Mus musculus: one gene and its partners. The protein of the gene in region 2 interacts with the protein of the main gene of each other region in a biochemical or structural test. Links are inferred from orthologs where the notes say so. Each region holds a gene or a part of one and is shown on either strand. Other genes may lie near its edges. The genes, in order: Med1, Esr1 and Foxo1.

What was found.
Region 1: the proteins of Esr1 (region 2) and Med1 form a complex in vitro, tested with the Homo sapiens proteins (6 studies listed by BioGRID). The link is inferred for Mus musculus from reciprocal best matches to the Homo sapiens genes ESR1 and MED1.
Region 3: the proteins of Esr1 (region 2) and Foxo1 form a complex in vitro, tested with the Homo sapiens proteins (2 studies listed by BioGRID). The link is inferred for Mus musculus from reciprocal best matches to the Homo sapiens genes ESR1 and FOXO1.

Annotation. Positions count from the first base shown.
Region 1 is NC_000077.6:98,158,748-98,162,400, forward strand, and holds part of Med1 (mediator of RNA polymerase II transcription subunit 1), read right to left. Parts: intron 2,493-3,653; coding exon 2,397-2,492; intron 2,296-2,396; coding exon 2,190-2,295; intron 1-2,189. UniProt on the Homo sapiens protein: Component of the Mediator complex, a coactivator involved in the regulated transcription of nearly all RNA polymerase II-dependent genes.
Region 2 is NC_000076.6:4,744,625-4,748,277, reverse strand, and holds part of Esr1 (estrogen receptor), read right to left. Parts: intron 1,662-3,653; coding exon 1,471-1,661; intron 1-1,470.
Region 3 is NC_000069.6:52,344,836-52,348,488, reverse strand, and holds part of Foxo1 (forkhead box protein O1), read right to left. Parts: intron 3,451-3,653; coding exon 2,113-3,450; 3' UTR 2,099-2,112; intron 1,494-2,098; 3' UTR 1-1,493. UniProt on the Homo sapiens protein: Transcription factor that is the main target of insulin signaling and regulates metabolic homeostasis in response to oxidative stress.

The DNA of each region.
Region 1 (3,653 bases), on a different chromosome or scaffold from region 2:
ACTGAGCTAAAAGAAAGTTGTCAGGCGTGGGTGGCACGGGAACTTCAAGTTCAAGGCAAGTCTGAACTACAACAGCCAGACCCTGTCTCAAAAATGAAAACTATGGAAGAAACCTGGGGAGGAAAGGTCATGATAAGTAAACTCAGGAGGAAATATAGCAAAAGCCACTCTGGAAAGTTCTGTTGCTGGTCTGCAGTACTAGTTATCTTAGCACAGACTAGTTTTAGCTTCTGGGTAAGTTTACATTCTCAACAGACTTTTTAAGACATTTTGCTTTACTATGTGTGTTAACAAATTTTACCCTGAGGCAAATACTGATATTTTGGGCATTATAACTATTAAGTGTTTTATCTTCAAGATGTTGACAGTTTTACTTGACAGGTGCTGGGGATATGTAAAATGAACAGCAGCGTTCCAATCAAAGTTAATCACAATCTATTAAAATCTATTTTGAGGATGAAGATGGGGCTCAATTATTACAGTGCCTGCCTACCAGGCACACAGCCCTGGGTTTTCTCCCTGGCACCAAATAAACCAGGTAGAGTGGCTTATGCCTCTGATGAAAGCACTTGGGTATCTAAGGCAGAAGGATTGGGAATTCAAGGTCAGCCTTAATTACATTATCACGGCCAGCTTGGAAAACACAAGGCCATGCCTCAAAACTTAAATAAAGGTCCAGTCCTGCAGATCCAAAGCTGCAGGATCTCCATGATACAGGGCAACAACAGACTATCTGAGGGGAGCCTCAGTGAGGATCCAGTATTGATAGTGAAGCAGAAGACAGAGGCCTCAAACCAGATCAATGACTCACTGCATTGAACATTTTTAAGGAAAGCGATTCGGGCATACCTCAGGACACACTGTGACACAGTACAGCTTCCCCTCAGCCCCCCCAAAAAAACCAAAACCAAAACAAACAAACAAACAAACAAACAAACAAGCTTTTTGTTTCCTTTGAGGTCGCAAGGGCAGAGGGTGGATGTGGCGGGATGGGAGGATGAGTGGGACTGTGGTGCAGAATCTGAAATTCACAACGAGCAATAAGAGTTTTTTAAAAAACCGTAAGTAGGGGGCTGGACAGATGGCTCAGTGGTTAAGAGCACTGACTGCTCTTCTAAAGGTCCTGAGTTCAAATCCCAGCAACAACATGGTGGCTCACAACCATCCTTAACAAAATCTAGGGCCGGGTGTGGTGACGCACGCCTTTAATCCCAGCACTCGGGAGGCAGAGGCAGGCGAATTTCTGAGTTTGAGGCCAGCCTGGTCTACACAGTGAGCTCCAGGACAGCCAAGGCTATACAGAGAAACCCTGTTTCGAAAAACCAAAACAAACAAACAAACAAACAAACAAAAACCAAAATCTAACTCCCTCTTCTGGAGTGTCTGAAGACAGCTACAGTGTACTCACATATAATAAATAAATCAATCTTTAAAAAAAAAACAAACCGTAAGTAAATGAAATCTCTTTTTTAAAATAGGCTACTTCCTCCCTACTTTAGAAAGAAAAATTTCAAAAGTACATATTAATGTTTCCAGGAAGTTTGCTGGTTTAAATGTTAACTCCCCACACACAGCTATATAACATGGTATATGTGAAAGAAGAGGGTATGTTAAAAAAAAAAAAAAAAAACCTAATAATTTAGGCGAGTCATGAAGATACCCACCCTTTAATCAGCACAAGGCAAAGGAATTCAAGGCCCACCTGGTCTAAACAGTAAATTCTATGGAGGCAACAGTGAGTGTGTCTTTAAAAACAAAGTTTATTTCTCAGCTCTCTATCACCTTAAATGTATAGCAAGGCTGGAAATGGCCAGCTTTATCCCTACTGTGTACATAGTGACTTTTAAATAACAAACAAAAAATGTCACATTATTTTAAATCTCAAAGCATAAAAGGAGTAAATTTAAATATTTAAATTTAAATGGCAATGTTTTTCTAATACTTTTAACTTATGTTAAACATAAACATATAGACCCTGGGTATGGGATATATCATGAGGATGCACACACACATTTAAACCCAGCACTCGGGAGGCAGCAGCAGGCAGATCTGAGTTCAAGGGCAGCCTGGTATATAGAGAGTTCCAGGACAGCCTTTCTTGAAAAATAAATGAATAAATAAATACATAATTGCATCCACACACTGTACAAATCTCAGTGAAATTCTTAGGAGAAAAGGGCCACTACTACCTTTGAACAACTTTGGCAATGAAGTCGTCTGTACAGATTAGTGCATCTGACAGCCCCTTGTAGAGTTTACAGCTCACATGTGTTGAGTCTTGCACATCCATCACCACTGAAAGACAAAATGTGGAAGTGATCCTTGTGATCCATCCGGGTTCTCAATTTTTCAAGAAAGGATGTCCCCAAGAGAGGCTGGCCACCCACACAACTCACCACACACAAGGGAGTCATTCACAGGGTGCTGAAAAGATACACTGAAGCGAGATTCTGAGAGAGGACACACTTCAAACTGGAGGAGCCCAGGAGAATCTGAACAATGAGGAAAAAGATCATAACCATATTTAAGACATTAAACAAACAAATAATTGTCTTTATGCAAATAGTAACATCGCCAGTTGATCACCAGGCACGCACAAGGTACACATACATACAGGCAGGCAAAACATTCATGAATATAAAATAATTACAACATAGAAAAACTTAAAAACAAAAAATTAGTAAACAGCCTAAATTGAGAGTGAATTCTGAAACCAGGAATGGCCAAGACTTTTGTTTCATTTTGTAACTTATGACATAGTCTTGTGTAGCACAGGTTACTCTTGAACCCCAAATCCCGTCTTAGCCTCTCTAACACTGAGATTACAGGTACTCACGACCATGCCCAGCTCTCAATTAGTCTTTTCATTTATTTGATGTGGCCAATCAGTACTATTACCGTAAAACTTCCTCAGTAAGGGTGGTTTGGTTGGTTTCTGAGGCAGGTTCCCGGTGCAGCCCTTGGCTGACCCTCACTGTCTGTCTAGAGCTACCTGCCCCTGCTTCTGCCTCCTATCTAGTGCTGGCATACAGTCATGCACAACATTAGCCTGAGTAACACCGATTTTCATTTTGTTTGTTAAGTATTTCTAGGCAAGGTTTCTCCGTGTAGCTCTGACTCTTCTGGAAATCACTCTGTAGGCCAGGCTGGTCTCAGTATCCCAGAGTTCCACCTTCCACCAAACTCGGGGATCTCTGTGAGGCTCAGGCCAGCCTGGTCTACAGGAATACATAAGCCAACCAAACAAAACACCAACATGCGCTGAGACCACATACATGTACATACACATAATACACATGTATTACAGATTCGTTTTGGATATTGTTTTAGACTTGCTTTTTTTTTTTTTTTTGCAGGGCTGACAACCCAACGCCTCACCAGTGGTAGGCAAGAACTGTACTTACATGCTACAACTTTAACCTGTTTGTTTATTTTCAGAAAGGGTCTCTCTGTGTAGCTCAGAGTTCTACCTACCTCTGCCTCCAAATACTTGGATTAAAGGAAACATGAACACACCAGATTCCACACCAGGCAATCTAGTTTTGTTTTTTTTTTCTTTTTAAAATTTATTTGGTTATCTAGCAAACATTCTAGTGGCACAGGCACAGATACCCACACATACACCATCCACACAAGTTTTTTTTTCCTTCTAA
Region 2 (3,653 bases):
TGTGTATGTGTGGTGTGTAAGCATATGATTGGTGAAAATGATGATACTTTAAATTGTATGAAATCAAATAAAAAGTAAATCCACAAATTAAGATGTTTGCCAAAAGCCTGATAAAGTTTATACTGACCTAAAACTAGATTTAAATTTTATTTTTCTGAATTAAATTGATATCAGGTAATAAAATTAATAGTTCGTGTGTGATACACTCAAACAGAGGGATATATACAAAGAGTTGCTATAGAGAATATCATTAATTTTTTTAGGAACACAGACAAAGGAGTCCAAGTCTTACAGCAGAATTCTAAAAGATGTTGAAAGCAATAAGTGTCAAGGAAAATGCTTTTAAAATGGACCACATTGACCTCACAGGCTACTCTATTAAGATATGAACAGCTTTTTAAAATGTTCTTCCAGCTGTGGAGGAAAGATAAATAGTGTGCACCATCCCCTGGTTGTTAGCCCATATCAGAGCTGAAGAGGCGAGGCAGAAAGTTCCTGAGAATCTCTTCTTGGGTCAGTGTCTATTAATGTGGCAGGTTCTGGTTTTCAACAAGTTCCTTAAGTTGGCATTTTGTAGAAGGCACTGCAGCAGGAGTATCCTTCATAGCTCTACACTAAGCTTTATTTAAGCTCTAAAGGTAAAGAAGAGAGAAGAAAGAAAACTACCCCACTGCTAGGGGGGGAAAAAAAGATGAATTCAAGAAGTCAAAAGTACCATCGGGCCTCTGTCCCTGTCAAGGACTTTAGTGCACACACCTTAGGGAGTAAAAATGACTGACATTTCCCAGTGGAATTCTGTATCGTGTGACAGTACTGGCCTTTCTAAAGGAGCAACAGCATGTATCTGGTGGCTTGTCAGGAAAGCTGCACTTATAAACTGTACACAAAGAGGGACCAAGGAAGGCAGGAGAATGAGGTGGCACAGCTGGTTCTTTATAAGTACACAGTACTGATGGGGTGTCCCTCATAAGGCAGCAGACATTGAGTCTGCTCATGTTAGCAAAAGGTCATGTCATCCATTGAGTCAAGAAAGAGATGTAGGGCGGGAAAAGAACAATTTGAATCAGAGTCAGTCTGGAGTAAAGATCAGAACATAATATTTACCTGGACAAGGCCACATCACATAAGCTTAGCTGAGAAAGAATAAGAATGTATGCCTGCCATGCCTGCATCAAGCCAGAGACATTTCCTTGTACACTAGAGACCCAGTTACCAATTCTTCTAGTGGAGTTGCTCAAAGCTGTCTTATCTTGCCAGGGGGAAGCAGAAATTCTTAGCCACAGCTTCCCTGGCATTACCACTTCTCCTGGGAGTCTGTGTCTTTTCCAAGTTTCAACCAAGGAGAACAGAGAGACTTACTAGATATTCATGTGTTGTGCAAATAGCGCTGTACAAAGACCTTGTCTTCCTTTCTGTTCTCTGCTGTTTTTAGGGCATAAACAGAGCAGTTTTTAGACAATACACTATTACCTTGAATGCTTCTCTTAAAGAAAGCCTTGCAGCCTTCGCAGGACCAGACCCCATAATGGTAGCCAGAGGCATAGTCATTGCACACGGCACAGTAGCGAGTCTCCTTGGCAGACTCCATGATCATGTTTCCTTTCTCGTTACTGCTGGACAGTCTCTCTCGGCCATTCTGGCGTCGATTGTCAGAATTAGACCTGGGGGTGGGATGGGAGAAAAACAGCGAATCCATTAGCATTTGAGAAGCAAGCCTTCCTTCCCCTCTCAAGAATGTGAGACCTGGGGGATGCAGCAGACCCACTTTATTCTGACATTTTGAAATAACGATTCATAATATACACTGATCTTCCATTGTCTCTTTCTGACACATGCAGCAGAAGGTATTTGCCTGTTATATTAACCTTGAAGAAAAATTGATTTTTTTTTAACAAACTTGTTTAAGAAATGGACTGCATACCCCAGAACAGATTATCCATAAAATAACAAAATGCTAGCAGGTTTCTAACAAACTTCTTTTTTTTCAGACATTCATAATTAATTCAAAACGAAGATAGACAAGTCTCATTCCAATCTACACCATATGAAAGGTCTTCAGGAAAGCGAGACAAAGCCTACAGCAGCTGGTGGATTCAGAACACAGACCCAGTGATGACCCATGGAAACTACACATAAGAAACAATATCAATTCAAATCCTTATGTTATTGTTATCGGGCAACCCAGGGTGACTGTTTTTTTTTACAACTTGACACTGCAATTACATCTTCAAGTGTTCCACCACTCAAGCACATGGGATGGGAAGAGCCTCAGAATACAGATGGTTATTCCAACCTTCAAAACCTTCGTGGAAGGAGCAAATCCCAGGAATGAAACTGAATGTGCATAGTAAGAAAGCTGAGCTCTAGAGGAACCAAGAAAATGGAGGAGTAAACAGCTTTAAGAACACTTTACAAAAGGAGTTTGCGTTCACTTTGTCAAATGGGACAGAGAAATCCAACCAGAGGACCGCTCGCATGGATTTGGGCTTGAGCAGAGGACTTTCGGGAGGGGAAGTGGACCACCCCTACCAAAATCTCTTGGTCGGAGAATGGGTGTGGTGAGTGGTAGGTATGAAAGGGGGGGGCATTTTTTGTCAACTTATATGAAGATTGGGATAGAGAAAATGAAAGAGTAGCTAAAAAGAAATCTAAGAGGACTCCCAAATGGGTCGTTGGAAGGAAAGAGATTGGCAAAGGCCCCATGCGGACTATACATGTTCAGACAAATGAAAATGACTTAGAAGAATCGGATATGCATAGCCAAAGCCTAGAATAGTGTCTGGTATGGAGATCATTCACTAATATAGAGATTTTATTAATTGTGTGAGAATGTCATGCAATATATATTTTCATTGGATATTTTATTTATTTACATTTCAAATGTTATCCCCTTTCCCAGTTCCCCTGCCTAAGAAACCCCCTACCCCATCCTCCCTCTCCCTGCTTCTATGAGGGTGCTCCCCCACCCACTGCCCCTCCCTGCCCTGGAATTCCCCTACACTGGGGTATCAAGCCTTCACATATTTTAAGATATATTTTATTTTTATGTGTCTGTGTGGTCCATAGACGTGCAAGTACACCTGGAGTTCAGAAGGCATTGGATTCTCTAGAGGTAGAACTACAGGCAGTTTTTAGCTTTCAGTGCAGATGCTGGGTTCTCTGAAAGAACAGCCAGTGCCTTTAACCACTAAGCCACCCCTCCAGCTCCCTAGGCATTGTATTCTGATCATATTCACTCACTGTCTCCCATCTCTTCTCAGAGCATATCAAGGCTCTTTCCTACCTACCTAACTTGTATACTTTTTTGTATTAAACCTATCAAAGCCAGTTTGTACTAGTCATGAACCCCTGGATGTGTGGTCATCCTTCTAAGTGTGGGCAATTGTCTTAATTCCTTGTCTATTACTGTGAAGAGACACTATGACTTTACAAAAGAAAACATTTATTGGAGCTCATGATTTCAGAAAGTTAGTATCTGTGACCATCACAGTAGGCAGTAGGTAGGCAGGCAAGAATAGTGCTGGAGCAGTAGCTTAGAGCTTATATCTGATCCACAAGCAGGAGAGAGAGAGAGAGAGAGAGAGAGAGAGAGAGAGAGAGAGAGAGAGAACTAACTAGAATGGTGTGGACTTTTAAAATCTCAAAGCACATGA
Region 3 (3,653 bases), on a different chromosome or scaffold from region 2:
CATTTTTAACTAATCCTGCCACTGTCTGTACTTAGGCGCACAGAGCACTCCATAAATCACTGAAGTCCTATTTGTAAACTTCCTCCTTAGATTTACACTGTTCAGAGCCAAAGAGAACAGAGGTGGGGACCGAGAAGTGACAGGATTCTTCAGGACAGAGCCACAAAGCCACCTCCATCGTGACAAAAGCCAACAGCTCAGAGTAGTAGGAGGCGAACCCCAGTCAGACAAAGAACATCACCTTAGATAAAAGTTCCCCTTTCCTGAGCGACAGACAGAGTTCCCATGGGAACTATGACAGCGTGACACAGGGCATCATCTGGCAGGCTTCCCTAGAAGGCTGTAAGCACGTGGCATCTATCTGAAGACTTGGTGCTATGCGCTGTACACAACTCACAGGGTAATAAAAGCAGGTGAAATTTCTTTAAAATACACACATAAATCTACACACAAAACAGAGTGTCTGTAACTATACATAACTTTCCTGCCCAAAGGGCCAGGAACGTTGAGTGTGCAAGTACTAATTACAATGGTTTACGATTAGTCAGAAACATTATCAGGTATCATCGCAAAGTGTACAAACCAGCTGAGCACATATAAAATTAGTACTAATCCAGTTAGAAATACAAAATGAAAATTATGAATGCAGCCCCCAAATACCTCTGATTTCACAAATTTATAAGCAGACAATGTAACAAAGTAGACTCTAGTTTTAAGAAAACATTACACTTCGGTATCTATTCCAAAAGATGTTGAGTCCTAACAATAACATCAAAAGTCATTTATCTGGAAATTAGAACCATTTTAAGTTGTTTGTACAAATTTGCAAATAACAAAATAAACAACAACAAAAACAATAGAAAAAGACCTGTACAAAGCTGGCACTTAATCTTATTCTGCCCCAAAGTTTGACAAGTCCATTAATTCAGCACATTGATCACTGGCTACTTGGCTCTCATGGGTTCTGTGGCAAATGACCAGGTTCAGTCATTCAGCCGAGGTGCAGGACAGAGATCTTAGTTCATGACTTCTCACTGTAGCAGAACACAGGTAGTACAAAGCAAAGTTTATCAAGACTTGAGACCATCACAGTATTACAAAAGAGTATAAACTTTCCTTGGACCAAGTAGGTATTAAAAAACACACACACAAATACAATTCTGTATCTACTGCATATATACAAAACTTGAAAGCACTCCAGGATCTGAAAGTCTTTTCTGCAATTACATGGTGTAGTGAGTTTGGCACTTCATTGTAATGATTCCCAATGGCACAGTCCTTATCTACAGGAGCACAAAACCTGCGGACGCTGGGCAAACATCCTGCACAGGAAAGTGCTGCCGCTGTTGCCAAGTCTGAGGAAAGGAGAAAGGACTTTTTTTTTTTTTTTTTTTTTTTTTAAATCTTGAAAACTATAAGGAGGGGTGAAGGGCATCTTTGGACTGCTCCTCAGTTCCTGCTGTCAGACAATCTGAAGGACTTTTAAATGTAGCCTAAAGGGGAAAAACACACACAATAAAAATATAGTCATTTTCAACTCAATTGTACTTAATCAAGTTGGGGGTAGGGGAAGCTCCAGCCTTCTCAAACAGCTACAAAATTATTCAATGGGTACATTTTTTTTCTTTATTGAGAAAAAATGGGAGGAAAAGAAAAGACCTTTGGCATCTGATTTGATTCCAATGTGTCCATTTATTTTAGAGCTGGCAGAAAGCACAACCCATCCTACAGTGAAAAGAAAGTCTTAAAAGCTGCTAAAGCAATCTGCACTCTATTTTAACCCCAAAAGGCAAACTGATAAACGGAGGGAGGGAGGGAGGGGAGGACAATAACAGGTAAGCACCTGCAACCAGATGGCATTAGAAGAAAGCCTAATGCAACCCTGGGCATAGCTCTGTCAGTGTTGCCCTGGGTTAGACCCCAGCACCAAGTAAGCCAGGCCTGGTAGGGATGAGTTACATAAGACCCTGTCTTTAATTACGTTTTTATTTTTATTTTTTTTATTTTTATTTTTTTAATGTCTAACCATGGAAGGAAGACACATGGTACTGTGTCCCTTTTTCAAAAGGCCTCTTGATACTGCAGTGAATAAACTTACCTGCTCACTAACTCTTAGCCTGACACCCAGCTGTGTGTTGTAGTCTTGACACTGTGTGGGAAGCTTTGGTTGGGCAACACATTATCAAAGTTAAAATCCAAGGTATCTCCATCCATGAGGTCATTCCGAATGATGGACTCCATGTCACAGTCCAAGCGCTCAATAAACATGCCATCCAAGTCACTTGGGAGCTTCTCCTGGTGGAGGACACCCATCCTACCATAGCCATTGCAGCTGCTCACCGAGGAGTAGCTGCCCAGGGCACTCATCTGCATGGGGTGGGACAGAGGCACTTGTAAAGGTGTCTTCACGGGGGTCAAGCGGTTCATGGCAGATGTGTGAGGCATGGTGTTCACCACATGGGGCAGGGTACGGCCGTTGACCGAAGCCGTTTGCTGTGCATGTCCAGGGTGGGTGTGGGAGCTGGGGTTCATCATTTTGTTATGAGATGCCTGGCTGCCATACGCTGGCATGACCGAATTAGGGCCCATCATTACATTTTGGCCCAGGACCCGACTGTTGGGTTGGGCCACTCCGGGATCAACCGGTGACATAATGTCATTGTGGGGAGGAGAGTCAGAAGTCAACAACTCTTTCAAGAGTCCTGGGGCACAGTTATACTGGTTCAATCCTCCGTAACTTGATTTGCTGTCCTGAAGTGTCTGCATAGGCATCTGGGGCAAAGGGCTCATGCTGGATTGGCCGTATGTGTACTTTGAGTAGTTTGGACTGGGTGAATTTAGACTGGTGTTTGGCGGTGCAAACGAATAGCATGGTGTCTGCTGCATCATGCTGCCAGGCGAGGACTGGGTGGACACAGTTAAAGATGTTGGGGACGAGAGAAGGTTGAGATTATCCAGAAGGTTCTCCATGTTTTCTGGATTGCTGATTTCAGACAGACTGGGCAGCGTAGACGCCATCTTGGCAGCAGAGGGTGGATACACCAGGGAATGCACGTCCCCATCTCCCAGGTCATCCTGCTCTGTCATGATGGGAGAAAGTCTCCCACTGATGGTACTAGCATTTGAGCTGGTTCGAGGACGAAATGTACTCCAGTTATCAAAGTCATCGTTGCTGTGGGACCCAGGACTCGCAGGCCACTTAGAAAACTGAGACCCAGGGCTGTCTCCAGGACCCTCTTGCCCAGACTGGAGAGATGCTTTTTTCTTAGCAGCCCGCCCTCGGCTCTTAGCAAATTTACTGTTGTTGTCCATGGACGCAGCTCTTCTCCGGGGTGATTTTCCGCTCTTGCCTCCCTCTGGATTGAGCATCCACCAAGAACTCTTTCCAGTTCCTTCATTCTGCACTCGAATAAACTTGCTGTGAAGGGACAGATTGTGGCGAATTGAATTCTGCAAAGCAAAACAGTATGTTAGAAGTGCAGCACTCCCCCCTTGGAAAACTTACTGCTCAATGGGGATCAGAGATATACAGTGCCCATTCTGAGCAGCCTAACAGCTCGTAATTTGTGTGGAGGTCAGAAGACAGCTTTTGGAGTCTCTTTTCACCTTCCACCTTTACTTGGGTTCTGAGAATAAAACTTGTGCAGCAAAAC